Drosophila melanogaster: one gene and its partner. The protein of the gene in region 2 interacts with the protein of the main gene of each other region in a pairwise test. Each region holds a gene or a part of one and is shown on either strand. Other genes may lie near its edges.

Evidence for each region.
Region 1: the proteins of OdsH (region 2) and CG11906 interact in a two-hybrid assay, tested with the Drosophila melanogaster proteins (one large-scale study listed by BioGRID).

What each region holds. Positions count from the first base shown.
Region 1 is NT_033778.4:19,273,160-19,289,818, forward strand, and holds CG11906 (uncharacterized protein), read right to left. Parts: upstream 10,803-16,659; 5' UTR 10,624-10,802; coding exon 10,393-10,623; intron 10,321-10,392; coding exon 9,613-10,320; intron 9,553-9,612; coding exon 9,210-9,552; intron 9,149-9,209; coding exon 8,971-9,148; intron 8,909-8,970; coding exon 8,464-8,908; 3' UTR 8,259-8,463; downstream 1-8,258. Other genes in the region: rib (ribbon), read left to right, coding at 4,970-6,955; AANATL5 (arylalkylamine N-acetyltransferase-like 5), read right to left, coding at 11,392-12,060; CG10474 (uncharacterized protein), read right to left, coding at 12,414-13,439; AANATL6 (arylalkylamine N-acetyltransferase-like 6), read left to right, coding at 14,824-15,492; AANATL4 (arylalkylamine N-acetyltransferase-like 4), read left to right, coding at 15,967-16,641.
Region 2 is NC_004354.4:17,783,724-17,800,437, forward strand, and holds the start of OdsH (Ods-site homeobox), read left to right. Parts: upstream 1-7,286; 5' UTR 7,287-7,343; coding exon 7,344-7,725; intron 7,726-16,714.

The DNA of each region.
Region 1 (16,659 bases), on a different chromosome or scaffold from region 2:
ACCAGCCAAACAAAGAGCTGATAATACTAATCGCGAAAATGCGTAGATGGAAAAACATTTGTCGTGCAGTTTGCAAACACAAATACGAAATGCAAATTCAGATTCAAATTCATATTTATGCTGAGAGTGCAAACTCAGAGGTGATAAGAAGCACTTTAGAACAATGCCATTTTGAGCAGATGACTGCAAATTAGTGCTGCTCGATGAACAAAGAATTACTTGATTGTTAAATCATGTCAGGGCCTTTCTTTTTTGCTAGGATCCACACATGTCCAACGAGCAGGTAGTCAACAGGATACAAGGATACTAGCAGTTCATTAAGAGTCCTTCGCTTCATTGAGCGAATGTCTTGCGGTTGGATTATGTGCGGATTTCTCCCTGCTAATCCCCCATAATAAGCGGTATTGGCTTTGAGCTGGGAAAACGTCTTTATCTCCGGTATTAGCCACATTCTCAGCAGTTAGTCAAAAAGTCAGCAAAGTCAACACTGACCAGAGGATAATCCATTTAAGGAAATTCTCTGTGATCGACACATGTTGAGTTTCGTGGAGTTTCCTCGAACTAACTAAGCATCTTTATAGGTTTTTAATTTATTAATTAAGCTAACAAATAAATAAATCATCAAAATGTAACTTAAGGTCATTAAAATCAAAAACAACTCTTTTACGTAATAATTTAAGAACCTGCAAAACTAAACGATTTCAAAGTGTAGGTTTATTATATTGTTGATTTTTGCCATTTAGTATAGCTACTATTTTATTTTCTTTATTTTTCACTTATATTTTTCTTATAAAGATGCAATATTTCGTTAGTCCGGCATATTACAGCCTCTTGGAATTCATATTTTACACTTTCACTGGGACATTGACAGGCGCTGGGGGTAATGATGATAAGATTACAAGTGTGGAAAGGGGTCGGGGCTCATATATGGAAGCATTGTAGTTAAAAAGAGTAAAGCCCCGGGGCTCTTGTCCATAAATGCTCGAGTCCAGATTATGGAGTCCGAGTTGCGGCAACTTTTCCGCTTTTTTATGCCCGTACTTACACACACATTTCTTGCACTATCAGCTTTGAGCCGAATTCCGCGGGGGCGGGGGGAGGTGAATGCACTTGCGAACTAGTTTTTCGGACTCTCGGGTGAAGATAGTGTTGGCCGATCTCGCGGAGCTGCCAAAAAAAAAAAAACAAAAAAAAAAACAAAGAATGCATTCGAAAACACGGGTGGACGGAAAATGGCCCCGTGAAATGCGGTTGACCTTAATTTCCAAACATGATTAATGGGTTTGGCAACCCAAAGTGAAGGTGGGCGGGACGAGGAGGCGCTTGATACACAGAGGAAACGACGATGAAAAACCTAATGATCAACAATTAAAAAATGTAAGTTGAGCTGTGGCCAGAAATGTGTGGGGTACAGCTGGTACAGATGACTATTGCAAATAGGGAAATGTTCTTTTTGTGAACTTGATTTTTATGAAAAATTAAAAAAAAAAACTTAATTTTGTAATTAATTTTTTTACAATGCAGTATTTTGTATTCGATTCTCATTTGAACTCACTGTTATCGCAAGTTTTATAATGTTAAAAAGGGCTGCAGAGCTTTTGTTCTTTAGAAAGTCCATTACCTAAGGTCTCCTTGAAAACCTCAACCCCAAAGAATGCTATTTTAGAAAAATAAAAAACGAGATACCCTAAGACATTTTACAGGTGCCTCGCATAATTTGCATGATAATAACGAAATCCCAAATTGGCAGTATGTTATATGTTACCCTTTCAAAACGCATCCCCTAGCGACCGTTAATTTGCAATTTGCATAAAAAATCAAGAAATCGAAGGGTTATCGTCCGAGGGGTCGAAGGTCGAGACATATGCAAATTAATCGCGTTGCAGGCCAAAACTGCATTCAATTGTGCATTGATTGCCGAAGGTCGTTACTTTATCTCTACACTTAAATTCAAATTTGCATAACTAAGAAGTTGTGGCAGAAAAAAACGTTGAAAGAGAGTAAAGCGAGAAAAATTGAAAATATACGAAAAGACAAGGCGACAAAGTATCAAAACAGGCAGTTCAAAATGGCGACGAATGCCGCGGAGAAGCGAAACGAGGAGAAAGGGTGTCGAATAAAATAGTAAAGATCGAACAACGAAAGATCCGAGACCAGTTTTTCACGCAACCTGCCTAAATTCGAGTATTAACCAAAGAAAGAAAAAAAAAAGAAACGTAAAAAATGCAGTCGCCAAAAAGGCAAAAGACTGGGACACAGCTATGCCCCTCTCCCTCGCACGCACTGCATCCAATGGCAGCAACCATATATGCAGCTCGCACACACATGCACGCACGCACACGCACACAAGCAGTCGCAATCGCAATCTCGCTCACGCACAAAACTGCAACTGCGCGAAAGAGAGGGCGCGAGGGTGGATTCGTAGCACAGTTTTCCTGTTTCCCCTTCGCATTCGAACAGTTTTCTCGCCGCTCTCTCGCTCTCACCCTCTGTGCATCGCTCCATCCCGCTCTGGCAGCGCTCGGGAAATTTGGTCTTCAATGACTTGCTGCACACGAAAACCGTGGCAGTTTTATTCAAGTTTGAGCGCTCGAATCTGCAACAACGTGCACGCAAAACTCTCAAAATTTTCTCAAAAACATCAAAATCACAAGGCGAGCGGAAAACTCAAGTATAAACGCTAAACGTGTCGCAGTTTCTTGGAAAATATCTAATATTTTTGGCAACATCTCGTGTTTTGTGCAATTGTGTGTGTGTGTGGAGCAGAAGAGCGAACAACCAGGAAAAATACCAACTAAAAAAAAACTCTGTTCTGAGAATGTGAAAACATTTTTAACATCGAAAAACTCCGAAAGCTACAACATTTAAACAAATCAAGGGAACAACAGTGGACAACTGAATGCGAAATACCCTTTAAAGTGTACCAGCAACTAAATTGGCCACTTAGCACCATCGATATTGTGCCCCACCTGCGGCATTTTCATTATTTCGTGGTAAGGTTATAAATAATTTATTTTACCTAATTTAAACGCGAACTCAGAATATAACTGAAAATGTGTTTTCGTTTAGGCAGTAACCCTAAGATGGTTTCTTTTTATTTGCCGTTATTAAAAGTCCAAATTTATAACTTAGTAGCACTGTGCTCTTCGCAGACCTTTAAATTTCCGAATTATTTTTGGTGTAATTTCGCAATTTTCAAGCCCAATACGTGTCAAAAAAAATAAAAAAATAGAAACTGGAAACCCTAAGCCCAGCGAAACCGGTTCCCAAGTGCATTCGCCTCAATGACGTTTGTGATAATTTTAATTAAACGTTTTTCTCACAAAATGGTGGCCGCTGTTGGCGAGCTCTGTTAGCAAAAGTTGGCCAAAGCTTTCCGCTTTCCGGCGCGAGCTTTCGATCATTTGGCGATCGTGGCGTATACGCAATGCGCGATCTTCGAGGCGTTGAGGCGTCGCCTTTATGGCATTATTATAACCGCATCTAATGCGCTTGCTTCTTGCTGCAAAATCGCTTACCTGCTCGATGTTGCGCAAAACGGGAGTGGGAACTGGAATGGGAATGGGATTGGGATCTCCGCAGGTTGCCCATTATCCTGTCGGCTAGACAATGGCTAGACAACAACAATTGATGATCTCTTGCGCATTTTCCGCAGACAATAATGCGATCGTTTGTTTGCCGCCTTTGTTTGATTGTCCGCATTTCTATCCTCATTTTTTTTTTGCCATATATGTACCTTCTGGTTTATTTTTTACGGTGCCTCGCCCCTTTGACATTTTCCTCTTGTTGTCTGATTGCCATTATCGTTTATGGGGGGATCCTGCGCCACTCTACCTGTTGGTAACTGGAGATTCACACACGCCACATGGCCGCAATTTGGAATGCGAACTCCTTGACGAATGGCCAACACATGACGCCAGGATGCCAGCATATGGCGTCCACTTGAATCTGAAACTCGACCACAACCCGAGTACCGAATTTGAAGTCATGCCAAGGACAAGGGCATAGGCATATGGCCTGCCTTTCGCCCCCGCTCCCCTTCCTTTTTTGTACACGAAATGAATGAAAATTATTGCAAGTTTTTCAGCCACATTTTCCCTTATTTTCCTTGCCTTCCCATTTCCATTGCCCGATTCCAGGCAGCGGTGGCGGTAAAAAAAAAAGAAAGCCTGACATTATACATATAGATTTGAATATGTATATGTATGCGTAAAAGTAAAACGCGCGAAAAGCAGCCGGAAAAATACGCGCACACATCTTTCGAGGGATGTTTGCATATTTTTTTCCCCCATTTTTCCTACACGTTTTTCCTCGACACCACCACTGCCACCCACCGCCAACTTCCCCATTTCACTTTCACTTTTTTACGGCGCATAAAACTTCGGGGGGTGGCGAAGGGCATAAATTTTACAAGCAAGATTTTCCGCCAAAAAAAAAAAAAGAGAAATGGTGGCACTGGAGGAGCGACCATCCCCAGTTTCGCACACCTGACTTCCATTTGCCCACTTTGGGCAAATCTGTTGTTTGTGTGTGTACGAAGTTCTGTGTGTGCTTCCTGTTGATTTTAGCAACCCATGCGAAATTTGAAATGTTCCACACCAACCCTCTGACATTTGCCAAAATCTAATCGCTTGGCCGAGGCTCTAGAACTCGTACTAATTGGCATTTTCTCCGCTTGTTCTCTTTCGTTTCCGTTAACCAGGCAACCAGGTGATCCGTAGGCCTTAAACTGGCGCTCAAGGTCAGGAAGCATCTATCCTTCTACTCGCCGACGCTGCTGAGCGCCGCCTTCACCAGTCTGAACGGTGTGTACAACAACAGCAGCAATAGCAGCGATCCCGCTCCGGACGAGGAGCCCGACCAGCCAGCGAACCAGCACCACCACAGCCACCATTCAAGGGTGAGCCACCACCACATTCCGCGGGAGGCCAAGCAGGACAGGGATCGCGAAACGGAGCGTGACCAGGAGATGGGCGGCCCAACGGCGCCGGTAGCCAGCAGTGGCGAGGTGGGACAGACGTACTGCCTCCGCTGGAACAACCACCAGACCAATCTGGTACAGATTCTACACGCCCTGCACGAGGTGGGCAGCTATGTGGACTGCAGCCTGGTGGTGGACGATGAACAGTTCCAGGCCCATCGCGTGGTTCTGGCGGCCAATTCACCGTATTTCCAGCACATCCTGAAGGATGTGCCGCAGGACCACTGCAGCATCATACTGCCGGGAGTGAAGGGCTTCGAGATTGCCGCTTTGCTGCAGTACATGTACACGGGCGAGACGACGGTGACCAAGAGCCAGGAGCCGGAGATTCTGCGCACAGCCAAGGAGCTTCAGGTCAAGGGTCTGTACGACAACTTGATGAAGTTCAATCATGCCAGCGTCACGCCCACCTCCAGTTCGGGAGCTGGCGGAGCCAAGCCCCAGAACGGATCAGCATCCAACCACTCCTCATCCGTGATCTCCACATCCACGCACATCTCGCCCAGTGCCGCCATCTCGAGCAGCTGCTCGCCACCACCGCCGCCGCAGTTTGGCTATCAGCCGGGCTACAGCCATTATCCTCAGCAGCAGCCGATGTCGGCTAGTCAGATTCCGGCCGGTGAGGCTCCACTGACCCCCACCCAGGCCACACCCCACTCGGCGGCCTCGGGAGCGGGAGAAGCCGGTGGACAGTGGCCACTGACACCCTCCGCCGCCGCCGCCATGTTGAACTCTGTCTACGAATCAGCCGCCGATATGAATCCTCTCAAGCGCAAGAAGCTGTCGGCCATTTCAAGCATGCTTCTGAGTGGAAACCGCGACACACCCATCCTGAGAAACGTTCTGGCCCAAGCTAATCCCGCTGACTCCTCGCAACCCGGACCAATGAATGCCAATGGAGAGAAGACGCCCACTCATCCCCACCAGAACACCCAGCTTCCTGCCGGATTGGGAGTAAGTGGAGGCGAGCGCAACCACAGCTTCAATGGCTCCGACTACGGCGGCGACAAGGAACCACTTTCGCCCTACACAGATCGTTCCTTTGAAGAGGAGACCGGTCAGTCTGGCGGCAAGAAGCCGGAATGGAAGCGATACAAGCAGTATACCAGAGCGGATATGATGTGCGCCATCCAAGCGGTGAGGGAGGGAATGAGTGCCCTGCAGGCGAGCAGGAAGTACGGCCTGCCCAGTCGCACTCTCTACGACAAAGTCCGTAAGCTGAACATCACCACAGGACGTGGCACACACCGCACACCCAAGCGCAGCCCGCCGGGAGCTGAGTCCTCACAAGGTTTCTCCTATTCCGCTGCGGCAGCCGCTGCTGCACACAACTACGGTCATGGACATGGCCATCACTCGGAGGTGAAGCGTGATCAGAAGGTGGACCATGTGCCCGCCCATCACGGCATGCCGCCCACCATTCCACCCTCAGCTGCGGCCCTTCTGGATCACGCTTTCCTTCAGCAGGCTCTGGAGAACCGTGGTGGTGACATGGCCGGCCGAGAGGCTCTCCATGCCATGGCTCTGGCCGCAGCGGCCCATGCCGCTGCCAATCGCCTTTCCAGCAGTCCAGCGGAGATGGACCAGCGCTCCAATGGCCATGGCATGCGGTCGCCAAGTCCGCAAGGTCGTCACTACCCGCACGAGCAGGAGGCCATGGACTTGGAGATGGAGAAGCACGAGCAAAATATTATCAAGAGGGAACGCGACCAGGACGAACGTGAAGATGCGGACGATGAGGAGGATCATGAGCAAGAGCACGTGGAGGATCTCTCGCTGGCTAGAAAGGAGCGGCCACCATCGCCCTACTCGCCCCAGCCAACCGAGGCTGGTGCCGGCGTGATTATGCACGCCAGCAGTGCGTCCGCCAATGGCAAGGATCACGTGGACTACCCATCCTCGCCGCAGTTCGTTCCCATTGGTCTGAAGAGGGAGCTGATGGAAGGCGAGGACGCTCAGGCCCGGGCCGACTGATTAACGCTCACCATGGCCTGGCAGTATGCCACGGACAGCCTAGACTCCTTGGAGTAGGCCAGGCTTAGATAGCAACTCCTATTATTCAAACCCAATTAGATCCATCCTTGTGTTACTTTCCTTACTTACCATCGGCGACTCAGGCGCCGACCAGCGTTGGTGAAGCTTTAAACGAAGAAACCTCATCCCAGTCGTTGTGGGAATCATCCGCACCAGCACCTGGCACCCATCGAAAATCAAACCCACACACTAAACTAAATTGTTGTCAGCATCACTTTGTGCCTAAAAAAAACAGAAATGTTAGGATATAGATAGTAGGATAGGACAGCATAGAATACAGATAGGTACCCTTAGGCTAGGCACTCGTAGGCCATCTTTGGAAACCAGCTAGTTGTAGGCCTTAAAACAGTGTTACTCCACCATCCCAGATGCCGGCCAACTGACAAAACTAAGATATGTGTGCATATGTAAACCCACTTACATAAGACTGAAGGCGGAATCGGGAGGCGGTGGAGGAGCTATCTAAGGACAGAGCAGTAGAGGCTCCCATCAGAATGGGTTAGCGGGTTAGCTACACCTTGTACAACTTTGTTAAATGCCAGTGATTTGTTTTAAAAATTATTAGCACTAGATTATTTATAACGACCATGCATGTACGTGGCCTTACTTTTATGATTTTCGAATCGAAGAGAAACCAGAAGATCCCACTTGAACAGAACTACCTCAAATAGCGTATCTTTGTTAGCCTCATGTTATCCTGTTAGCGAGATATTTAAATCGTCCTGGGTTGAATTTATAAGACTGACACCGACTCAAACGTACCACGAGCAAGAGCACACGCATTAAAATAAAATAAAATAAAATTATAAACTAAACTTAAATACGAATCGAGATCCTTAGTTGAAAATCTGTAAGTTTCCCGCAAATTGATTAGTTCTAAGGCCATCAACTAAACGTAAGCACTAAAACTAAACTATTTATAAGACAAAACAAAACAAAACAAAAAACAACACACATGAAAACATGCGCTGGGGGCAATGCAATAGGCTCTTTAATTATAAACACCTACACTTATGCAACTTATATAGTCGTACGGTCGATAATGTTAAATTGTTATACGAGTAACTCTGTACATAGCATCATAGTCCACACATACACATGCGAATTATAAATCTAGTTTTAAGTATTCCGAATTGTACTGCAATTTAAATTATCCCTAGACACCCGACTTTCATCATGTAAAGATCAGCGAAGGAACGCGAAATAAACTGACTGAAGAATCAAATAACTAATGCTCTTTTATCTGACAACGGCACAATATTTATTATAAAAAATATGCATATCTAAATTTACTAGAGTTGATTATACAAAGAGAACGCAATAGTCGAGTTCCTCGTTGCTCGACCAAAGAGTGTGCATATTAGCACTTTACACTCTACTAGTAACGTGTAGCATGACCTATTCGAATATATTGCAGACGAAGAATGGAGCTCACAACAAGTTCGTAATCAGTGACATCCAACGCAGTTCGGATTTCGCTCCTCGAAATCACATATTCCGATAGCGAAACGAAAGGGTTTATGTTGAGGCAAGTGCATGGGCTGCGTGGAGGGCATCGGTATTCGCGGAATATAGAACTCACGTTCTTCGTACGACTTGACTATTCGAGAATAGTCCGATGACCGTGGCACATGGCAGTTGACAATCGAGAGCGAACGATCAATGCTGATGAGGGGCTCGTCGTTGGGACTGTGCCCCAGCTTTTTGCAATGGGCCAGCAGCTTAGCCTCGCTAAGAAACTCCAATCGGCAGAAATTGCAGTGGTAATTGATCCCTTTCCTGTGCAGCTGGAAATGCCGATCTAACTGGTGCTGCAACTCAAACTCTTCGCGGCACTTATGGCAGATGTAGAGGCCGCGGTTCTGGAGATGCATATGGTAGTCTAAAAAGACCCTGCAAGGAACACAAATAAACCAATAAACTACTTTCTTTAAAAAGATCGCTGCCCCACTTACTTGCTGGTGAACACATCGCCGCACTTATGACAGTAAAACCAGCTCATCTTCCAGTGCTCCATGTAGTCGTGCTTCATTAGAGCCACTAGGGTGTCCGTCTGGTAGCCACAGTCAGGCGTGAAACAAGTGAATGATTTCAGTCGCACCTGCGTCTTGAGCAGGTCCAGTAGGTAAAGATCTGAAAACGGATAGCAAGACTTTTTGATACAGAACGATAACATATTTCAAAGGATATTTACCATACTCCTTGTCGGTGGTCATGTGCGTTTCCACCATTCCGTAGTCTCCGTACAAAAGGGAGAGATTACCAGCGCTGTTGCTATTGCTGCGGCTGTGGTTAACAATCCAGTCGCCAGTAAAGTTCATACGTCGCGCGTACATGGCATCCTCCTCGCCCTCTTCTAGTTCCTCCCCACCGCTTTCTATCTCTTCATCTTCTTCGTCCTCTTCCTCCTCATCCATGTCGTACCTATCCCAGGCTTCGGAGCATGCCCGTGAGCGAGAGCGCATCGAGCATGCCCTTGGCACCCGGGAAGTCATAACGGTTTGGCCAGCTTCCTGCTGCTCCACAATTGCTAAGGCCTGTACAGAAAAAACGGAACATATAAGTATATCATTTTTGGGGGATACATGCATACTAACCTCCTGCTTGGCCTGGCAGATGGTGTGATGCATTTCCCACTCGTACTTCGTGTCCAACTGGGCTTCGCACAAATCACACGGATATCGCTGCTGATGCTTCATTCGCTCATGCTGTCGCTTACTGATTAAGGTCTCAAACTCTGCGTCGCAATGCCGGCAGTAGTATATGCGCGATGATCGGATGGCTCTGGATGGCGCCTCTTCATCATAGCTCGCCTCATTTAGTACCCGGCATTTGACGCGCGATGGACGTGGCTGCTTCCTGCGCGTTTTGGAGCAGCGCCTCAAGTGCTGGGCGTAGTAATCCCGTCGAAAATAGGCCCGACCACATTCGTGACACTCCAGCCGTGTTCGCCATTTCCAGCCCTCCGCATGCTTCTCTTCCGTTTCCTTGGCCGATGGAGAATATGGTTGTTGAGCGAGGTATACTTCCAGCACGGAGCAGGAAGAACGCGAGCGAACGCTCTGCCCGCTGTGGGCCACCTCCTCCTGACTCTCAATCAAGGTGGTCGACACCTCTGCATCAGCAATGGGTGGACTGTGCTGGCTGGGCGATGTCGTGGTGGTTGTCACCTTGGTGGTTTCACCACCGGAACGCTGCAGCCGTTGCATGCGCTGCATCAGGGATCGAGTGACCTCCGAGTGCATGTTCAGCTTGCACACGCACTCCACGCAAATGGCCTTCAATGTGGATCGGATTACATCTGCCTGATAATTAAAGAATTCGAATTCAAAGAGTTGGCATGGATGTCGGAATTGGATGATGTCTTGAGTACCCACATGAATCTTCCAGTCGCGACTTAGGCGACGTTGCATTACATGGTTGGAGCGCAGATCCAAAAGCGCCGATGCCTTGGCGGCACCACAAACGGTGCAGTTGGCATCGTTGGCCTCCGCTTCCCGCTCGGCGCCTACGTGGTTCTCATCCTGATCCTGCCGATTGTCATGTTCAACGGAGCAATTGCCGTTGGTGCTGCTGGGTTCCGGATCCGGAGCCGTGGCATCCTGCATCCTGCTGTAATAGGGGCGCTACTGGATAACAAATGGCACACTCAATATATTGCACTTGATCCTTATGTCATTACTGTGCCGCATTAGATGCGTGAGTCGAAAAACTACACTCAAATCCGCCGAATTCCAAGTGTTTTATCTAGTAAATATTTTTTGAAGAGCAGAATGCAGTGTGACCGTTGTTGTCATTGAGAAAATATACCACCGGACACTTTAAAGGTCTGGCAGCACCAACCGGTTATTTCAGTTAGTTTTAAATTAAGATAATTCAATTTTGGATTCGACATTTTCTAATTGCTTTATTTAATACATATAACTTAGCGAATATAATACATATGTACTTTCTAAAATTGATCACATTAGTGAGCATATCATTTAAGGGAAACACAAATCAAACAAAATTTCTATATGTACCACAAAACAATACACTACAGAAATAAAATACAACGCACTTTCGAAACGAGAAACATAAATTTGACGACTTTAAAGAAAAAGTACAATTGTGAGCCCACAAGAGGCTTATGCCGTTTGCAATCATCAAGTGGTTTACATAGCAGTGAAAAGTGCTTACTTCGTACTTGATAAATTCATAATCAACACAATCTGTGCACAATAAAGTAGAGCCCTTAAATTTTATTACTTTATTAGCTCCATCTGGACATGAATTTTCACCTGGGCGGTCTCTATCAATTGTCAAGTCCAAAGGTTCTTGCGATATAAGAAAACACCCCTATTTGTTACTTAGTTTTGCGAATTCGTACTAATTTATTAAAGTTTTGAGGCCAAGACCCGAATGTGGGTATGGGGCGCTGGTGGATTATATATCGGTCGGCCCTGTTCGTCCTTGTAGTCAGCATAGGCCACCGAATGGATGCACTCACATCCCGCTTTCATCGCCGATCGGGAGGAGTAGTGATTGGTGCCACTGCCGATGAACAGACGGAGTCCCCGCAGGCGACCCAATTTAAAGAGACATTTGGAAAGTATGACCAAGATACCTCTTTGCCTCATTGAGGGGTGAACGGAGATGACCAGCAGACTCAGGTAGGAGGAGACTCCGAAGCGTTCGAAAATGTTGGCTTCGCGCTCCACTTTGGCTATAAATTTCCTGCTGCGACCCAAAGCATTTGGCTCCATTTCCTCGGCTTCCTTGTGCTGCTTGGCCATTTCGATGGGATCCATCGTCTCCGCCACGGCAATGCCAACCAGTAGTCCCCCGTTGTTATCGTCGAGTGCCACTATGGATAGTCCCTGCCTGATCACCGCCAGGTATTGCCTATCCACTTCCTCCTCATGCTGCAGGTGAATGGGCTCCTCGAGACCCATTCCCATGGGCTCGTCGTAGTGAAAGTAGTCCGTCATGAAGGTTTTCACTCTTGGATAGTCGTCCTCCTTCATAACTCGTACGGTTATGCCATCATTTTGACTAAGAATCATGTTGGACTGAGCAGCGATGTTTGGTTTCCCGGCTTGATAAACTATGGTTCATTCTACATGACTGCAGGAGCCTTTTAAAGAAACCGAACTGAGTTATCAACAAATACAAGCATAATAACTTTTATTATTTTCTATATTCAGATATGATATGATAGATAATGTTTGCGTGCCATTTGCAAAAAATGAACATGCTTTTATTCAGCCTTTTAATCTACCGATAGGTCTAATCTGAGGCACATTTTCTTTTATGCAGGAGCTAATCGTAATTCTTCTACTCCTGGTTTCAGATACATTTTAAAATGGCTAAGTGCATAACAATTATAAGATTTATAGTCTAACAAAATTAGTAAACATTACCAAATAACTTGTCTATCGTCTTCGGAAGGAGATTTCTCAGGATTCGCTGAGCACTCAACCGATTCCGTGCGCACCGGTTGTCCCGGACTACTGACCATATAGGCAAACTTTCCATTATCCCTGGCCATGCCAGTACCATGGCACCTGACTGCGTACGTTCCAAGCCGGTTTGCAACGATAACGGCGACTTCGAAATACTTTACGTGCTTCTGGATTCGCTGGATGACCAACTCGACTGCCTCCGCCGGTGTTTTGCCCGCCCGCATGGCCTCCACCGCCAGGAGAGAGGGCAGGAAGCGCATAAGGATGTCTCCATCTCCAGTGGTAACAGCGGCGCCCACTTCGTTATCCGCATAGGCAGCGGAGCCGGGAATCGAGGCGTCGCCAACACGTCCGGGCAGCGTGTAGCGTAGTCCGTTGGTGGAGGTGCCCACATGGATGTGACCCTCCTCATCGATGGCGGCCATGGTGATGGTGTCGTGGTTATCGGGACCAATTTCGATCCGATCCGATTGCTTGGCATTCGGATCCCATGTGACCAAGGGCTGGTAGGGACCGCAGGAGGTCCTCGGATCCGGGTGGACATTTCGCCAAAAGTTTGGCTGGCAGTTGTGCCTCGTCCAATTTTTCAATGACTCTATGTTGTCCTCAGAGTTTAGTGATTCGTACTGCAATCCCATGGCATTGGCGAACTCATCGGCCCCATCGCCAACTAGCAGGGTGTGAAGCGTGTGTTCCAAGACATGTTGCGCCACCTTGATGGCACTTCTGATCCGTCGCAGATCGCCCACAGCACCCACCTCCATGGTGCCTCCATCCATAAGCAAGGCATCCAGGGATGTATCTCCGCGCTCGTCGGGATTGCCGCCGTAGCCAACAGTCTTGGCGCACTGCAGCTTTTCGCACATGGATATACCGCCCACAACGGCGCTTCTCGTCTGTCCAAGTCCGCCCTTTTTCACATTGAGCAGTCGCCACGCCTCCTTTTTGGCTTCCGCAAAGGGCCAGGTGTTGATAACCATCGGCAGGAGCGGTGTTGTGGTTTTTTGTCCGGAAAAGTATTTATAACTCCTGTCACAAATCATCAGAATATATCAGAAGCAATTCACTGTAATCCGTTTTTTTTTTACCTACCAAAGTAGTAATGCCACCAAAAGGATGCATGCGAGTCCCGCAAATAACTTCTTCATAGCTTTATTTTTGATACTGGGAGTCACCGGAGAATCGTCTCTTTTTATATGTGACGAAGTCAATGGAGGCACGCATTATAAAACTATATTTTGTTCGCATAAATTTGCACTGAGAGAAATAGATATATCGAATTATAATATGCAAGCAATATTATAATTCTTATTTTGTAACAGCGATGATTTTGATAACAGTTTATAATAATATATAATTTATAATAATAAAAATGTTTCGTTAAGTAACTACTTTATTTGCACTCTAAAAAATATATCAGCCTGTTAACAAATATGGTAAAAGCTAACAAAAAACAGTTCATAATAATATTCATTGACCAAGTAATTTGATTCTGTATTCACGTGAGTTTCGAATCTATCAACATACTACACATATGCAAATGACCTACACTGGAAATAAAAAAAATTTACATTTTACTATAGATTTCTTACTGATGTATGATAATGGAATAACCTTTAAAGCAATTCTGTATTTAATATGTTAATTTATATGTTAATTGAATGCGAATGCTAATAAAATAAGAAAAGTTATGCTCGAAAAATGTTATCATTATCAAATTGGCAAACCAATTTTAGGCATTATTAAAACCACGTGCCAGTTATGCTGATATTCTCTTTTGTTTGACAGGTTATTATGAAGATGTTTGAAAATTTCTCAAATATATCCAAACGTATCGAGTTCTGGACAGGGAAACACAGTATCGCTGCTGCCAATAGTTAACAACATCTGGCCATTTGCAGAAGCAAACGTGCTCGCTCCATCTGAAATTATGCGGAATTGGACAGACGAGGAGATTTTCTGGATGGACAATGGATCAGAAGAACGCGCCATCCTGTCATCCGGACAGGCACGAATCGAATCCGAAAGCACGTAAGATTCTTCATGAATACTGCATTTTGCTGATGCAGAAGAATTGTGATTACCTCTTGCTTTAATTTTTTCCTCTTCCTCTTAAAGAAACTGTATCTTATTGTAGATTAGACCTATCGGTAGATTAAAAGATTAATACCAACATGTTCATTTTTTTGGAAATGCAACGTATTATCTTATTTGAGCACCACCTTGAATATAGCAAACAATGGAAGTTCTTGAACTTGTATTTGTAGATAACTCAGTTCGGTTTCTTTAAAAGGCTCCTGCAGTCATGTAGAATGAACCATAGTATACCAAGCCGGGAAACCAAACATCGCTGCTCAGTCCAACATGATTCTTAGTCAAAATGATGGCATAACCGTACGAGTTATGAAGGAGGACGACTATCCAAGAGTGAAAACCTTCATGACGGACTACTTTCACTACGACGAGCCCATGGGAATGGGTCTCGAGGAGCCCATTCACCTGCAGCATGAGGAGGAAGTGGATAGGCAATACCTGGCGGTGATCAGGCAGGGACTATCCATAGTGGCACTGGACGATAACAACGGGGGACTACTGGTTGGCATTGCCGTGGCGGAGACGATGGATCCCATCGAAATGGCCAAGCAGCACAAGGAAGCCGAGGAAATGGAGCCAAATGCTTTGGGTCGCAGCAGGAAATTTATAGCCAAAGTGGAGCGCGAAGCCAACATTTTCGAACGCTTCGGAGTCTCCTCCTACCTGAGTCTGCTGGTCATCTCCGTTCACCCCTCAATGAGGCAAAGAGGTATCTTGGTCATACTTTCCAAATGTCTCTTTAAATTGGGTCGCCTGCGGGGACACACTCTGTTCATCACCAGCGGAACCAATCACTACTCCTCCCGGTCGGCGATGAAAGCGGGATGTGAGTGCATCCATTCGGTGGCCTATGCTGACTACAAGGACGAGTTGGGTCGGCCGATATATAATCCACCAGCGCCCCATACCCACATTCGGGTCTTGGCCTCAAAAATGTAAAAATTAAAATAATTTATTAATTAATTATTACTTTGGCCTTGGCAATTGATAAAGGTCGTCGAGCTGGAAACGCAAGTCCATATGGATCAAATAAAGTAATAAAATGTAGAACGGTCTACTTTATTGTTCAGATATTGTGTTGATTATGTATTTATCGACACATGACCTTGCAATAATTACAAAATCTGATATTAAGTAATCACTTTCCACTCGATGTATTTATCCTCAAAGATTTTGGGTCAGAAAACCATATTCGAAAAATGTTTATTACTAAAAGGATAAGTCAGTCTGGCACTTCATTAAAAATAAAACCAAAAGCCGTTGGAAACAACTTTCTCTTCGCCAAACAGAAACAATCTATAAATATGATAAGCCATTATCAGTGATAAGCGCCGAAGTATAAAAGCCATGTACACATCGGCGTCCTCTTCTGTCTTAAGAAAAGCATATAGAACGAATTAGCTCCGGATCGCGATGACTCCCACGACAATAGATGGCGTCACGATACGCATCATGCGCCCAGAGGATTATGCACAGGTAAAAGCCTATATGGAGGCTGAGTACTACACATCGGAGCCTCTGTGCCAGTCCAGCGGCGAACCCGTTCACCAGCAGAACGAGGAGATCAACGACGCCTTCAACCAGTCGATAATCGCCGAGGGCACCAGCCTTTTGGCACTGGATGAAAACGATGGTGGCCGGATTGTGGGTCTAGTTCTGGCATGTGCCAGTTATCCCGATAATGTGAATGCAGGAACATTGAATTTGAAGCTCGAGAATGTGGAGGATAACGCTTGGGGTCGAATGTATCATTTACTAATGAAGGCCAAGCGCGAAGTCAATCTGTTTGAGCGCTACGACATCCCGAAGGCGCTCTACTCCCACGTGACCAGCGTGGCCTCGTGGAAGAGGGGCAAGGGCCTGGGCTCCCGCCTGGCCGCCACCCTGATGGAGCTGGGCCGATCGAATGGTTTCCCCCTTATGATGGCCTTCTGCACTAGCTTCTACTCCGCTCGCCAGAAGGGGGCCTTGGGCATGGAGTGCATCTATTCCATCGACTACGCCGACTATAAGGACGATGAAGGACGAGTGATCTTCACACCGGCAGCCCCACACACAAAGCTGCGAGTGATGGCAATCAAACTGTGACAGTTGATAACAAATAAC
Region 2 (16,714 bases):
ATGCAACGAATTCAAATGAAATGAAATGAAATGTCTGTGCGTCCGTGGAATTGGAGCTGGGGGATCGTCTTTCTCCGATTTCCGCGATGTCAGAGGTCCGTTTAGACAAATGAGATAATTGGCTACATGGATTTATGTGGCATACGAGCGCACTGCGTTTCTCCTTGTTTTTTTTTTGTGTGATTTATTTAATAAGCAGAAGGGGTCGACTGCTGCCATATACATACATATGTACATATGTACATATATACCATATGTAAATATACATATTCATGTGCCCTGATAAAGCACCCACAACGCACATGTCCAGATCCGTTGCCATATTCCGATTCCGTTTCCCATTTCCATATGTCCGGGCTGTAAAAATTTATTGGCCATCAGTCACAATTGCCAATGCGCTCGGCAATGGCTGCGAATTGTGGCAATAAGTTGCACGCGCGCACCGATAAGCCCCGCCCCCAACGACCGCCGCCCACCGCTTTGGTCCACTGCCCCCACGAGATTTTCCTTAAGCAGGATTCGCACACTCTATGTTGGACTTCACTGGATTTGGCAGTCGGGCCAAGGCGGCGTATGAGCAATATTGCATATTACGATCAAATTAAACAATATCATAATCATAAGAATAAAATCATGGAAAAATAGGAAATCTCAGATATAATTATTATACATATGTGGATGATTAGAAAGAACTATCCTAAGAAAGAACTTTGATTTTTAACAGACCGTTTAAGAAATCACATAATAATTGTATGCAAATATATATATTATATTAATAATTATGGATTTATTCCCTATTTAATGTTTTTTCTTGGCAGCACCAATTAATGGATATTAATGGCATATAATAACATTTTTCTATTTATAGACATAAAAGAGCATCTACAAATTGGCTATAAAAAGGTGTAGAGCAGATTCAGCTTTCTTCTTGCTCTCTTTTTCAACCAGCTTCAAATGTCCATCATTTTTTGTCCCGGTATTTCGGTGATTGGGGATGAGGGATGAAGGATGGGGGATGCGGGGGAAAAAAGGCCAGCCAAGCACATGGGTGGGCTGACCAGCGCTTTTGGAGGGATGCGATTGTGTGTGCCGTGTGGCAGTGAAATAATGGCGCCCAATAATATTAATACGTTCGCTCGTTATCAAATTGCGTTTGCATGCAAAATGGACGGATTGCTGTTCCGTCCCTGGTGCATATGTAGTACATACATATATAGACGCAGAGCCCCCCGATATCATATTATGTACGGGGATTCCAGCTCCAGCTCCTCCTCCTCCTCCTTCTCCGTCTCCTCTTGCTCCTCCGTCCGTTTGCCGGACATGAAATGGACATGAAACGAGCGCCATATTTAAGAGCCGTACGTGATTTGTGGCAGCTCCCCGTTTTGCTGGTCTTCTAGCCGGAGTTTCCTTCTCTTTCGCCGTTGCCATAAAACGGCCTAAACAATAAAGCGGGACTGGAAAACGTGGGAAACGTGAGCGGAAAGCCCGAACGGCATGGAGGTGACAACATGCCAATGCAAATAAAACGGAGACGGCGCAAAACTTTATTTAATTTGAAAGCTAAAAATATAAAATAAATTTTCCACATTTGACTTTTACACCAACAATTTGGGCAGCGCCGGCAGTCGTAAACCTTCGCCGCCCACAATGTCAGTGGATCTGGAGAACCCGACGACTCGTAGCCCTCAACCCGTAAGCCGTAACCCGTAACCCGTAACCCGTAACCCGTAACCCTCGACCCGTAATCCGTATCCGTAACCGTATCCGTAACCGTTCCGAAATGGCAAACTGCGAGCGTAACCAAAAACCGTACGCAAAGTTACGATAATCGTTTATTGAAATGCAAATTTTTTGCTGATTTTGCCGCTTTTAGAAGTCAATTTGAGTTTGAGTTTGCTTTTTTGTTTCGTTATTTGTTTTGTGGGTGAGTTGTTTTTTTTTTTTATTAGCACTTGTATTATGATTGTCTCAGTCCCGAACCGAGAGACCCCGCAATAAAAAATCGCACAGCCATTTGGCAAGTGTAAATTTGCATATTAAGGAGCAAAGTCAACCCTGGGGTGCCATATGCTGAGTTGTCACCTGCTATTTGTATAATTGGACAGTTAGTTTGGCTTAACCCCATTGCAGCAAACATTACGATGGACGAACCCATACCGCTAACTTACCCCTTTACAAAATCGATCGATCCATCAGAAATCAAAACGCAAAATCTCATTAATTTGACAGGGCAAAAGGACTCGGATTTCGCCCTATCCGGCGCTCTGGGAAACGTAAATATTTTCGCTAGGGGGTAAGCAAGGATACAAAAAGATGCTGACGATAAGGTCCTGCCGGGGGGGGGGGGGGGGATGTGGAACTGATGCAACTGTCAAATTGTCAGGGACTCGGAGTTTTCAAAAACCAGATACTCTCATTCCGATTCGATGGGGTGGCTGCGGTTTTTGAGCGCGGTTCTTACTATTTACAAAACTGCAAGATACGACTGATAAGATAAATAATTGGAATATGAAGCTGGTAAGAGCAGCCCCCTTCACACCTCCTGGCCCCTCTTCCCAATGTTTGGGCCCTGGAATTAGACACACACACGCACACACACAGTTTCGAAAGTGTGACATGTAGGGGGGTGTGTGTGTGTATGTCTGCTCTCATTCTGTTTAATCACAGCAAATAATTAAATGTCCATTTCACAGGCGCAACGTAAGTGTCGCCGCAGCCCCCTCACCCCACCCCACCCCTCACCCTCGTCACCCATCGACCGTTCGATATATGTATATGGGATATAGAAGGGCCGAATCTGGATTCGAAATCTGAACCCGACCCCTCGACCTCGATGGCGATGCGACACGTGTGCGACAAGCGGCATTTGTATTAAGACTTAATTTAAGTGCTTATCACCCAAAACAAATCAACGAACCCCTCCCCCTCCCATCTGACATTTTGTATGAGTAACGCTCACCTAATGAAGTTATTAGACTCACGCACATACAATGCCCCAACCACCCACTCCCACCCACAATTACATATATGCTCCATTCCTGACCAGACATCGGCGATAACGTTGCGAGTAGTAGGGGCTTGATTTTGGCAGGATAGGGTATCTTCCCTAGATTCGGGTATATGGGTTCGGCCAAATGGTATGGCATAAAAATTCGCATGGGAGAAGCCAACAAGTGGGGAAACTATATTTTTCTAAAATAAATAAATACTTTTTCAATAGAAGTAAATATAGTTTTATAACAAATATATTTAAAAAGCAATCATTGAAGTAAAAATGATTGCATATTGAATTGGCTCAATATTCTCTTTTCACTTATTTACTAATAATATTTCCTAACCATAAAAACTTTTATTAAAAAAAAAAAAAAAACCCATATGTAGCGCACTTTCTACTATCGAAATGCCCAAAACTCGATCATTTTCAGTCGCGGCCGCCGAAAATAATTTCTCCTCCTCTCCGTGACAAATGGGACTTCAATAAATGTTTATGATTTGACAAATCAATCGGGCTACTAATGTCACAATTTCGGTGATTGTGCCGCATTTTGGTTATTATTTGGTAGCATTATTCCCATTCAGATTACCATTGCCATTCCCACTCCAAAATCCGATTTCCCATCCCATTCCCACGAAGACCCCTTTTCCGGAGTCACTTATTAATTTGGTTATTTGCTCGCTGTCCGTATTATTTATTCATAAATTTTATCAGCACAAATTAAAAACAAATTAGTCGACAGTAGGTAAATAATAATAAAGTGTAATAAAAATCAGTGGGACAGGAGACAGTCTGTCGATATGGGGCGATAAGCGGGACAACCCGAATCGAATCGAAACGAACTTGATTTGTTTAATCGAATGTGAAATGATTAAAACTTAATATACATTTAGTTTATTTTGCCCGATGCCACTCGATTTGCCTTATTTTTATTCCGGTTATTTTTCTTTTTTTCTTTTTTTTTTTTTTGTTTACCCCCCATTTCTCCATCCGCGCTTATTGTAATGACGTTTTTATTGTTTTTAATGCGTTTTTAATAATAATTGATTTGCGATTGCAACAATTTGATAAACCAAGTAAATGAAGCGAAGAGCCAAAACAAATTATGTCATTGCTGTCGGAATGAAACGACAAGTTGGCTTATTTTAATGGCGAACAGGCCATAATTAAGCAGCGAAACCATTTTAAATGTAATTCATTAAATTGGCTGCTGCTTTCCTTTCAATAAAGGTGACCTTGATCACTAGTTTCTGGCTTATATAACTATACATTTTACGAAGCTCTAAAAGTAGCCCAAAATACTTAAAAGTCAATTAAAAAATATTTACAGTAGCTCATTAGTATATTGCTGTATTAAATTTATACAGGAAATGTTAAAAAACAAATAAACAAAAAAAGAAACAAAACATTTTCAGTCATTAATAAACTCCCTAAAAACCAATAAATGCCATCTATGGTTCTGGAAAAATTTAATAGCTATTTATGTTTGCAGTCTGTAGAATTCTAACTGCTTTTGAATTATCATAAATGTCATTAAATATTTATATGACATTTTAATAATTTTTTATGTATACCTTCTTTAGTCCTGAGAAATTAGCATTTTCGGGTATCTGTATTACAATCTAAACTCATCTCTGTTATTCCACGTAGTAACGAAGCATTGAGACTTTCGTCTAATTTCCAATGACAATTAATTATGTTAAGTAAAACTACGGAAATTCCAGGAGAAGCAGGCGGAAATAATGGCCCAGCATAACAATCAAATCGCAACAAAGTGTCACAAGAAAATTTACTTTCCAACAACTTCTAACTGAGTGAAGAAGAAGACAAAGATTGGGTTGTCGCGGCGTGGTGGGGGGGGGAGGTCTGAGTGCCCCTATTAGCGGCGAAAAGTTGTTCGGGGAATAGAGCCGGGAAAACTTAATAGAAAATCAAGCGCAAGAAAATGGCGTCCGATAAGGCGATGAGGAAAATGCTGGAGGAGAAGCGAGAGGAAAAGCGGTGGGGAAAAGCGAGAGGAAAGTCAGGCAACCAACGCCCCGCAGCAAATTAAATGAAAATTTGTTTGTGTGTGGAAAAATCAAGTGAAAATTAATTGAATTGAGTTGAGTGCGGCTACGGCGTAATGGTTTTGGTTCGAGGAGCTTGAGTTCGGGAAAGCGGGTGGGTTATTATATAGATCTTCATGTGGCGATAGCCCACCGAAAACGAAAAAAGGAGAAGCTGCAAATGGAATTTCCTTTTGCCCTTTTCTTTTTTACCAATCACAAAGCAATGATGAAGGAGAGTCCAGAAAATGTTCAGGGGGCTTACGGGTGGAAGTTCAGTGGGGGGGTTTTGGGTGGTCACTCCTGCCCACTCTATCTCCCTCTCTCGCTCGCTCTCGCCTTTCATTACCCTGGCTAAAGTCGTGCTCCGTCCCTTTCCTGCAGCCATAATTCATTTTCCAAAGACGGCAGCTGCGCATTGAAACTGCCTCGGAAAAGTGGGTGTATTTATGGGGGGTTCCCGGTTCGCCCCCAACCATTCCCCCACATATTTAAGACATTATTACATTATAATCGCATAAAACAATCAATAAAATGTCAGTTTTTGCTCTGCTCTCGTAGGGAGCAGCGCAGCTCTTGCCCTCTCTTTCTTCTCTGTTTGAGGGAAAAGCACCCCCCTTCTACAACCCACAGCGATTCAGCCATGCACTTCTTTCTTCTCCATTCTTTGCCACTACTTCTCTTCTTCCTGCTCGCTAGCCGTCTTCTTCTTGCCAGGTCTTAAATTGGCCATAATCATATTAATATGAAATTTCCCCCTATTTTTTCTGTGGCCACGCCTGCCGCTGAACTATGTATGTCTCGCCCGCACTCGTGTTCACTCTCGGGCTTCTCTGACTATTGCGCTCTCTTTCGTTCGCGCTCTTTGGTGGGTTACGCTCGCACAGTCACACACACACACGCACACTGATTCACTTTAAATCAATTTTTTTGGCGTTTTTCATTTCATTTTCCCTGTTGCGCATTGCACGCTCTCGCTCGCTCTCTCTTCTCTTTTATCCCGCTCTCTCTCGCTCTTACCCGCCTTGCCTCTCTGTCGCACAATTTAGTCAGGCAGAAAAATACCATTATTGCATTGACCATTTGTGGGCCAGCGCGGGGTTAAGCGTGCGCCGCGGGGGGGTTAAGTGGGTGGTGGTGTGGGTGGTTCCAGTGGGTGGTGGGTTTTTGCGGACGGCGCCTTGGCATGTTTGTTAAGTGAAACCATTTTTCTTTTTATTGCCACGGCTGCGCTGTCGACGTCGACGCCGCCGCTGCTGCTGCTGCTGCTTCAGTCTCGTCTTCTTCTTCTTCTTCTTCTTCCGCTGGGCTCTCTGCCTTTTTTCGCTTTTCGTTTTGTTATTTCTCGCTTTGGCGCACATAAATTTGAACGTTAATGATTTTTGCTTGCAGTTTGCGCGCATGCGACCCTAAAACAACAAGAACAACAACTACAACAACGGCAGCTGACCGTCAAGTGTTGAAAATGAGCTTGTTGTTGTTGCCGCTGCGGCGGCTGCAGTAGTTGTTGTTGTTGTTGTTGCTGCAGCAGCAGGTGTCGCCATCTCACTTTTTAGCACAGACTCAAACCACGAGCAACCAACCAACATTGGTGACACTTTTTTCCCCATTTTTCCCACTGACTGTAGTGGTGCCCCCATCTCACATACACACATATGCGCATTTTTATTAAACAAACACGAAGAAGACGAAACGAACTCCATATTTTTCATTTGTACGCGCCTGTCGCGCCATCCCGCTCGCACCGACTTCGCGATTGTCTCCACAAAACTCCACAACTCGCTGGCCGTAATTTTAATTCGAATCAATTTGTTTGTCGCCGCCGCTGCACTGAGTTCAGCCTTTTGCCCAGTGGGCCGCCGATCCGCTCCACTGTGCACGCTACGCCACATTTCGCTTGCTACGTTCCACTGTGCGGCCAGGATTGTCGCCTTTTTTTTCGGTGTGTGTGTGTTTTAGTGCCTTGTGAATTGAGTCCCAACAAAAAAAAAAAAAAATCGAAGTTAACCAAAAGAGCCTGCTGATTAAAGCGAAGTTAGCGCTAACCCGAAGTAAACACTATCCTGCAGTTAACGTAAGGCTAACCAAGAGCTATGAGGGAATATCAGAAAGAAAGCAAGAAACAATCGAGTCAGTGTTGAATTGAGTTATCGAAATCATTGAGCTAGTGAGGTGACAATATTAAAGGAAAATGAACTAGTTTAATTTGCAGTGTCAGCAAAAGCATTGAATTGTGTGTGTTCATTGCAAACGAGTTAATCGCATAAATTGGGAGCTAATCAAAAGCTAAGACGAAAATGGATCAGCTAATACAACAGCTGCAACAGGCAGCTGCTGCTCGGGGACAAGTCCAACATCCCCATGGTTCATCCGCTTTGCAACTTTACGCGGCAGCAGCGGCTGTCAACATGCAAGTGAGCGGCTGGTCATCCGTTCTCAACTTGTCCATGGATGCCCCAAATCCGGAAATTAGTCCCAATTCCGTAACCAATTCGTCCTCCGTGTATATGATCCGCCAAATGGCGCTGATACAGCAAGCCAGAGTGGCCGCCGCAGCAGTGGCAATGCAGCAGCAGCAGCAACAGCAAAGGGATCTCAATCGGGAGCTTGGCATGGATCCGCACAGTGAGCAGCGTATTAAGTTGGACTCAGTGTCACCCACGCACAACATCCACGCGGGTAAGTTTGATTAATTCATAGGCGATATTACTAGCTTATTCACATTGATTGATTCGATTTCTATGTCAATATTAACTAATATTCAATGGAAAATAATGAATAGAACATAGCTCTGGTTAATAAAAGCATGCACAAAAAACCACTCTATAAACTACGCATTTCGCATTTGGCCAAAATACACGAAATTGCTGGCCAAATTTAATTACGTGAATAATCAACAAGCCGCAACAACAATTACAAGCTGGCAAAAACACACAAAGCTACACACACACGCACACACACACACGCACACACACACACATTGAAAGTCCTGGCCTGCGGGCAAATAATGTTGTTGATTTTGTTGTTGTTGCTGCCGCCTGTTGTTGATTAAAAATTGATCAAAAAACATAAAAACACACGAATTATGCATGCGCGTATTTAAATGCGTGTGTTGCGCGTGTGTGGGTGGCGCTGAATTGATTAAAAGGAGCAATTCGATTGAAATTTTATTGGTAAATTGAATAAAGTGCACGGCGGCATAAAGGCCCCGGCCGGAAAACTTGTTTTCCATTCCAATTCGGCCATTTGGAAAATGCCATTATCTGCGCAAGCTCGACGCAAAGTTAATGAATGTAATGAATGAACAAATGAGTGGGCCACAGGACATCCGGGCATAAAATGTGGGTGGTCATAAATAACGCCATTTCGGAAGTGTCCTTGCCGGGAATTACCGCTAAACGTAGGTGATTAGATGAGATCGGCTAAAATGTAGAGGACATTTTGGAATAATTACTAAAAACTTTAATGGGCTTTTATACATACTATGTTGGTGATGATATTTAATTCATTTCTGATGAGATAATCCTTTTGCCTTTAAATTAGCATATTGTAGACAAGGTAAGTTGAAATAGTGGGAAAATGTTTGACTTACTAAAAAAATGTTGAATGTCATAATAAAATGGGATAATATATTATAGGCCAGTTCAAGCAAATATTTTTCTAAGAAGTTACGCTCTTAATAAGCTGTACTTTTAAAAAAACCAACCAAAACCATTTCCAAAAAAAAAAACATCAACATTTTCTTCAAAAAAACAAAGCACTACGTTTTGTAAGCAAATATTATTTTTATATATTTTAGTTTTATCTTACACTGATTAAATATATTGCTAAGCCTTGAGATCAATGAACAAAGTGGAATCACAATTTGTGAATGGAACGAGGCACCTGGCATCGGGAAATGGGAAATGGTGCATGGGAAATGAGCAGTGACAGGTGAAGTCTTGCTTTCCTTTCGGTGTCTTTTCCTCCTTGTTTTTTTATATATTTTTTTTGCCCAGGTCACGCCCAATCCGGGAAACGCCTGTATTTCCTATTTCGTACCTCGCCCTTTGTCTTTGGTCTTTTGGCAATTGAACCACTTTTGAGGCGCATCCAATTCCGATTCCGAATTGGCCGTCTTGCTGGGCCTCATCCTCCTACTTTTCTCGACGACGACGGGAAATTAGCTGCCATTAGTCATTTTTATTGTTTTCGGTCGCGGCCCCGAAACTACAGAATACAAAAAGAATATATGTATGTAACATGGAGTAAGGCTGAAGGCTGGCAACAACCCGGTTGGCAGCGCTGTTGAGCAGCAACATGATTGTCGGAAATCGAAGCTATCGACAATCAGTCATCGAAGGAACGATCGCAAGGCAGCAGTGGAGTCGAGTGGAAGTCAGCGTTGCAGTCAGTCGAGTTCTCAGCAGCAGTCGTTCGGTCACAAACTAAGAATACTTTACATAATTACCGCATTTAGAATTAAACTAATAATTAAATTAATAATAAACAATAATAATAAACAATCTTACATGGGGGCTCGTCCAGTCCTAAATCGGTTATATGAAGGTGCAGTTGTTTAAAGAAAAAAGACATTGTTGTGTGCGTGGGTATAGTCTTTAAAAGTTGTAAAGTTGTGGCTATATCTATTGCATTTAAAGTTGGAAAAATCAGTTGTACAGATTTTGTTTGAACACAAGTCGGTAAAAGTCGGGAAAGCTGCTAGAGAGAACTGATAAAGTTGAAATTGTCGTGTGCGTGGATTTAGTCTTTAAAGTTGTAAAGTTATGGCTACGTCTACTGCATTGAAAGTTGAAAAAATCGATTGAACTCATACAGACTCAAGTCGTTTTGCTGTTGTGGAATTTAAAACAATTAAATTGCAAAGGTGGTGAAATTCGTTTCTAACGAAAATCAAAATTTGTCTTTTAACCGGTGGCGCCGTCTGCAAAATCGACTACCGTCGCGCCGTTAGAACATTGTCGTTGTTTGCTGGTGTTAGTGCCTTGTCGCGGAATGTTCACACGCACACCACCTACAAATAAAAAACTTAACACCGACCAAATACAAGCAATTCTAGAGAACGAAAGCGAGGACGAAAGCAGAAAAGAAAAAATGAACGAAGAAGATCAAAAGTTGACGCCTGTAGGAGAAGCAGAGGCAAAGAAGCAGAATAAAGACGCTAGTGCTAAAGTCGAAGAGAAATTTGAACAAATGATGAATACTCTAACCCAGAGCATGTTGGCAAAATCTAAACAAGAGGGGCAAGTAATTATCGCTGCAGAAAAATTTGAAAAAGTTGTAAGTGACTGTGATGGCAAATCAATTCCTATTAAAAAATGGTTTGAAATTTTTGAGAAAAATGCCGAGGCATATGAACTTTCGGAGAAACAAAAATATGTTCAAGCCAGAAGTAAGATGATTGGATCAGCAGAACTTTTCTTAGAATCTGAATGTGTCAGTGGATACACTGAACTCAAAGAGTTACTAATTGAAGAATTTTCAGGCAGCTATAATAGCGCCGTTATTCACAAAAAGTTGCAAGACAGGAAGAAGAAGAGGGAGGAAACTCTACACGACTATTTGTTACAAATGAAGAAAATAGCAGCCTTAGGTGAAGTTGAAACAGTTGCTTTGATAACTCATATCGTAAACGGCCTCGACATTAAAAAGGAGTATAAGGGTGCTATGCTCCGTTGTAAAACTCTTAAGGAATTAAAGCAAGAATTCGAAATCTACGAGAGTCTGAATATTGTTGACAAGCCGAATATTCAACCAAAACCAAAGCAAATTACACAAGGTGTAAAAGCAGATCACTGCTTCAACTGTGGTTCGAGGGAACACAAACGAAAGGATTGTACACTTCCTACCAAATGTTTCAGCTGTAATCAAGAGGGCCATATCTCAAGCAAGTGTCCGGAAAAAGTAAACAGCATGCGCATTCACGTTGATAGGGCACGAACAAAGCCAGTAATCATAAATGGGATTATCATCAACTGTCTGGTGGACACAGGATCAGATGTGACCATAATTAAAGAAGCTATATTCAAGAAGATGAAAGATGTTGATTTAAACCGCACTGCAACAGTATTGCGAGGTTTGGGAAATGCCTCAACACAGCCGATTGGATGCTTCAGAGCATTAATCAAGACCGACCAGGTGGAAGCAAGCCACAACGTTTTAGTCGTCCACGATTCTAAATTCAGTTGCGATGGAATAGTGGGACACGATTTTATCAGCAAGTTTCGTCTTATCTGTAGTGCAGAAGGCTATACTTTTCTTGACCTGGAAGCAGATAAAAAACAAGCGGCCATTGTGCATACGCCACCGCGCAGCGCGAATTCGCACAACGAGATGGAAACGCTGCGCAAACAGCTGAACGATTACAAATCGGAGATCAATCAGCTAAAGAACGTGGTGCAGATGCTGTCCAGCGAGAACACGCAGCTCAAGTCCAAGTTCTCGAGCGCATCGAACAACAGCGTGTACGATGAGCCACTTCGCATTGATCTGAGCTTGAGCAGTCCGGATACAGAGCACGAGCCTCTGTCGCTACCTGAAGGTGGGACTGTCAATGGGGAAAGCGGCTCCTCCAATGATTCATCAAATCAGTCGACCATCAAGCGTCCAGCCAGCATGTACGAGCGTCGTTTGGTACCCAATGTGGCCAAGGGCAATACGGACATACGAAATACGACCAGCATGTACCAAATGGCTGGGGATGGCAAACCTTTTGGTGAGGAGGTCAAAGTGCGCTCTGACTTGGTCACACGCCGTCTTAAGGAGCTCATAAGAGCTATGCAGCCAGTGCCAGAGGATCGGTTACTGGAACTGCTCCAAGAAGAAGTGGTCTGTCAATTCAGCGAGGACCGCTATGAGATGAGACAGCTGGTAAAACGCAACATCGAGCAGGCGCAGAAGGACTACAAGCGCAATTACGACAAAAAGCGCCGAGCTGAATACAAATACAAAGCAGGTGATCTGGTTGCAATTAAAAGGACCCAATTTGTAGCTGGCCGCAAGATGGCAAGCGGGTATTTAGGTCCATACGAAGTCACAGGGGTCAAAGACAATGGCAGATATGACGTTAAAAAAGCAGCAAACGTCGAAGGACCCAATGTCACATCCACCAGCTGTGACAACATGAAGTTGTGGAAGTACATAGCCGAAAATGCAGACCTATTGTCATCCGGGTCGGATGATGATGATCAGGAGGGCCGAATGTAACATGGAGTAAGGCTGAAGGCTGGCAACAACCCGGTTGGCAGCGCTGTTGAGCAGCAACATGATTGTCGGAAATCGAAGCTATCGACAATCAGTCATCGAAGGAACGATCGCAAGGCAGCAGTGGAGTCGAGTGGAAGTCAGCGTTGCAGTCAGTCGAGTTCTCAGCAGCAGTCGTTCGGTCACAAACTAAGAATACTTTACATAATTACCGCATTTAGAATTAAACTAATAATTAAATTAATAATAAACAATAATAATAAACAATCTTACATGTATATATGTATAAAAAAGAGAGCTGGCACAAGTCGGGGAAAACGGGGCACAGAAAACTGTAAGGAGAGCGATGGAAAACCAGCGGGGAAAGTCGAGGGGGGAAGACCTGTGGAAATTGGGCAGCCAAACAATTTGTGGCAGCAATTTTTCTTAACATTTTTCGTGAACCCAAAGAGAGGTAGAGAAAAAAAAGGTCGAACTCGAAGCGAAATGTCTTAATTATTTTTGGTAGCTCCCTGCCCGCCGCTGCCAGTACCGAAAACCGCGTGCCTAAACATACAATTTTCGTTTACGACATTTTAATTAAGTTTTCCCCATTTTCCTCTGCTTGTGGAAATTGGTCAAATTAATAAGAACGCCATTGGCACACCCCGTCAGGTTGCCTTTATTCGGTTTCTCTGTTTCTTGTGTTTTCTAACATTTTTCGGGCCCAAACATAAAGGGGCCCCCTCCCGACCAGCGATCATCAGTCCATCGGTGATGAATGAATTGAGTTGTTGGCTCCCAATACCAGGTGATTCCAGGTGATCTCCGGTGATCTCCGCTGATCCGCTCCAGCCGATGGCCGCTCATTAGACAGCGCTGACCGCGAGCGCTTCTGGTAATTGCCATCATTTCAAGGGACTTCAAGGGGTTTTCGATGGAGCTGAACTACCGGGAGAACTCAACTGAACTACTAGACCCATAGATTAATTGTGATTGTGTCGAGTGGAAAATAAAGATGGAAACAGGTACAGCTGCACGGCGAGAAACTGAGGCTTCCATGCAATGGGTTTATAAAGGCATGAAATGATTTTTAAATTTGATTAGTTTTCTCAGTTCTTAAAGTATTTTTCATCTCTAAATATTTTATTAATATATTATTATATTAAAATAACAAGCCATAGAATAAATCAATATAATTGGTAATCAGTTCTATATAGTTATCAAATTATTTCCTAAGAAGCCTCCTTTTATTTATTATTTATTCTCCAGCATTTTTGCCAAGTGTAGATGATAGATGCTCCGCATGGACGAATGAATGAGTGCTGATCCGAAGATTTCTCTCGCCCAAAAGTGAAAGATTTAGTGAGTGGATGGGAAGGGAGTAGAGCGGAGTGGAGGGGAGGGGCCGAAAACAAGACTGGAAGCCCGAAGAGCCGAAAAGCGAACAACGCAACCCATCAACATCAGCGACTAATGGGACTCTTGTTCGCATCGGAGAAAAGGGGGCAATTGGAAGGGATAGCTATAGGGTATGGGGGGTATGGCGTATTGGTCCAATTTCCACCGAGATTTTCCTTGGCTAATTAATAAAACGCTCAGTGGGCTCGTTGCACTAATTGGTCCGATCGTCGGGCCCCTGATGAGCTTTTGACGAGCTCTCCGCTTTATTTATTTATTTTCTTTTTTTTTTGTTTTGCGCTTGGCCCGGGAAATGATAATTATTTAAGTGGGACCCCATTTAGGCGGTTGCCAAAAGCGAACGAGAAACAAGAAATCGGAGCACTATCAAAAATAAAGCAAAGCGCCCTTATATCGCTCTAAATACTGCAACCCATCCATGTCGTCCTTGCATTTGCATTAGCATTTGCATAATTTATGAGGGCGACAACCCTGGCCGGTGGCCATAAATTCAGCAGAATGGCAGCCAGCCAAAATAGAAGCCAACATCTTTTTTCTAGGCCGACTGCGAATGCATTTTGGCAGCTCTTTTTACCCACTACCAAGTGGCGCGTCTCTCTGGTCCCTCCAATTCCAATATTTGCAACTGCCTTTATTTTGTGCCCCACCCCTTTGGGTGGACTAATAAAAATCAAAAGGCGTTTTGTTCTCTAAACTTAAATTGAAAACACTTTAGGCCAGTCCTGCCCCAAAAAACCGTTCCCCTGCCAAAAAAAAAACGAAAAAAAAACTAAAGGATAAACACTTCAAGGGGCGGATTTGGCTTAGTGCACCCCTTTCCTCACCCCAACTCCCCCCCCCCTGCTAGGCCCACGCCGCCCCTGCTTTTCGTCGTTATACCGTTGTTGAATTACCGTTTAGCACAAAGATGGCGGCGCTAGATAAAAACATTTTTTGGCCAAATGGGAAAAAAAGCAGTGCTTGTAGGTAGGGCAAAAAAAAAAAAAAATTTAAAGGGGTATTTTGTTTCGGCCACTTGACTTGTACCGTTCGTATTCTTCTTTGTTTTGTGTTCTTTGGCCATTTACAGTTTTGAGGTGTAATTTTGTTGTTGTCTTAAATACCTTTACAAGTGCCACGCCCTCGAAACGCCCTCGAAGTGTACAACTCATTTGGCGATTAGCAAATTAGGGTTAGACGCCCCAAAAATGGTAAATTGGTAAATTTATTGTTGGCCGCGAAGGGTTTTCCCTGGCTCGCTTATTATTTAATAACTGCTTGCGGTGGGCGGAGGTCAGTGGGAAGTGATATAGAATGGCCAATCAATCAGCCGAGCCCCCACTAATTTATCCCCTACTCATTTCGCCACTTTGTTGGCAATCTGTGTCGACAAGTGTCAAGAAATCAAGGCAATTACACGACCCAAAACCACAAAATAAATAGCAGGCGGGCGGTTTTTGGGTGGAAAATATCAAAGAGCGACAAAACGCTAAGCGGAAAAGCCGCAAGCACGTAGAATCGAGCGTTTTACCGCTAAAGCTAAGCTCACCACCACCCACTTTCCATCCAAAAGAAAAAAAAAAAAACCCCTAATATCCTGAAACGTTCTGTAACACCACCGAGAAGCACCCACACACGTCCCGATTTTTATGTTATCTCCATGGACTTGAGCCCAACAAGCGAACTCCCCTCTCGACGACATGAAAATTATGTAAAACTTAAGTAAAAGATGAGCTCGTCAAGAATTATGACACCCCAGGGAATCCAAGGATGTGGATGTATGCGTGTTCGGTGGTAGCAACCCCTAGAATCAAGTGGGTAAGGATGATTTCGTCGGTTTACATCGAAGTGTGTATACCCTACGGCATGAAAAATGTATCTTCTGCTAACGAATAATACAACAGTTATCTACATAGTAGTATTTTATACAATATGTTGGTATAGAATAAAGAAAACCATGTATATAGAAAAAAATGCTGATATTGGATGCATTAAGAGAGCATTAAAACATCTTATAGGGCACACTGAAAAATCACAGTATCCCATCCTGGCAAACAACTAAAAACTGTTGACCGAACAACAAAATCCAGCGGCATTTAAGTGGCAGCTTCGTTTGGGTGAAAACCACCCACGCACGCACACAATCACACACATGCCACACAAACAAAGGACACAAAAATGAAAACCCCACTCGGATAACCCTCGACGCTTGTTGGATTCTCTCGTAAATGCCTCATGTGCGTTTATATTGAAACAGATTGCCCTGCCATTCCATTCCATTCCCGTTCATTCCCGTTCATTCCATTCTATTCCCCGCTGATCTCTATGTGTGTGTGTGTGTGTGTGTATCCTTGCGACACTCTATCCGTAGCTGTGTGTGTGCGTGCCACTTGTTTCGGTCTCCTTTGTGAAATTGTTGCGGTTTGCAATTTGCTGCAAATGACACCGAGTTGGTGGTGCGATTCTTCCTTCTGCCTCGACATACTTGTCCTCCTGCCCCTTTTCATCCTTCCCCCTTCCACTTCCTCCCGCTCTCTTTGCCCGTCTGCAAAGACGACGATGGCGGCCATATTGCGTATACGCCATGTGGTTCGCCTCCCGTTTTCGCGCTGCGTGTGTGTGCGTATGGTGCGCATCAACCACCCGAAAGGAAAATGGAGCGGAAAGGGGAGAAGTACGAGCAATTGCCTACCCTGGTTACGCCCCCGCCACTGCCCACTACCTCCCCCCCTCCCGTTCGACGGCTTTCCCTGGCCAGAATAGGAAAAATCGTGAAAAGGAAGTGTGTTGGAGTGATGGGGGGGGGAGGGTGTGGGGAGTGAAGAAGAAAAGCCGCACGACACTTCGGGGCTAATACAATTTATACACTTGGCTTGGCGTCGTTTCGGTTTGGCTCAGTGCCATGGTCCCAAAAAAGTGGGAGTTACGGGGGCCAAAGAACTGGGGATTGGCAGGACCCCTCTCTCTCTCCCTCTCTTCGCCTCTATCTCCCTCTGTCTGTCGCTCTTTTCGCCCAACTCGATTGTCAGCCAGTTTTACGGTTGGATCAATGTTTATGCCATTATACAAACACGAGTACATACAT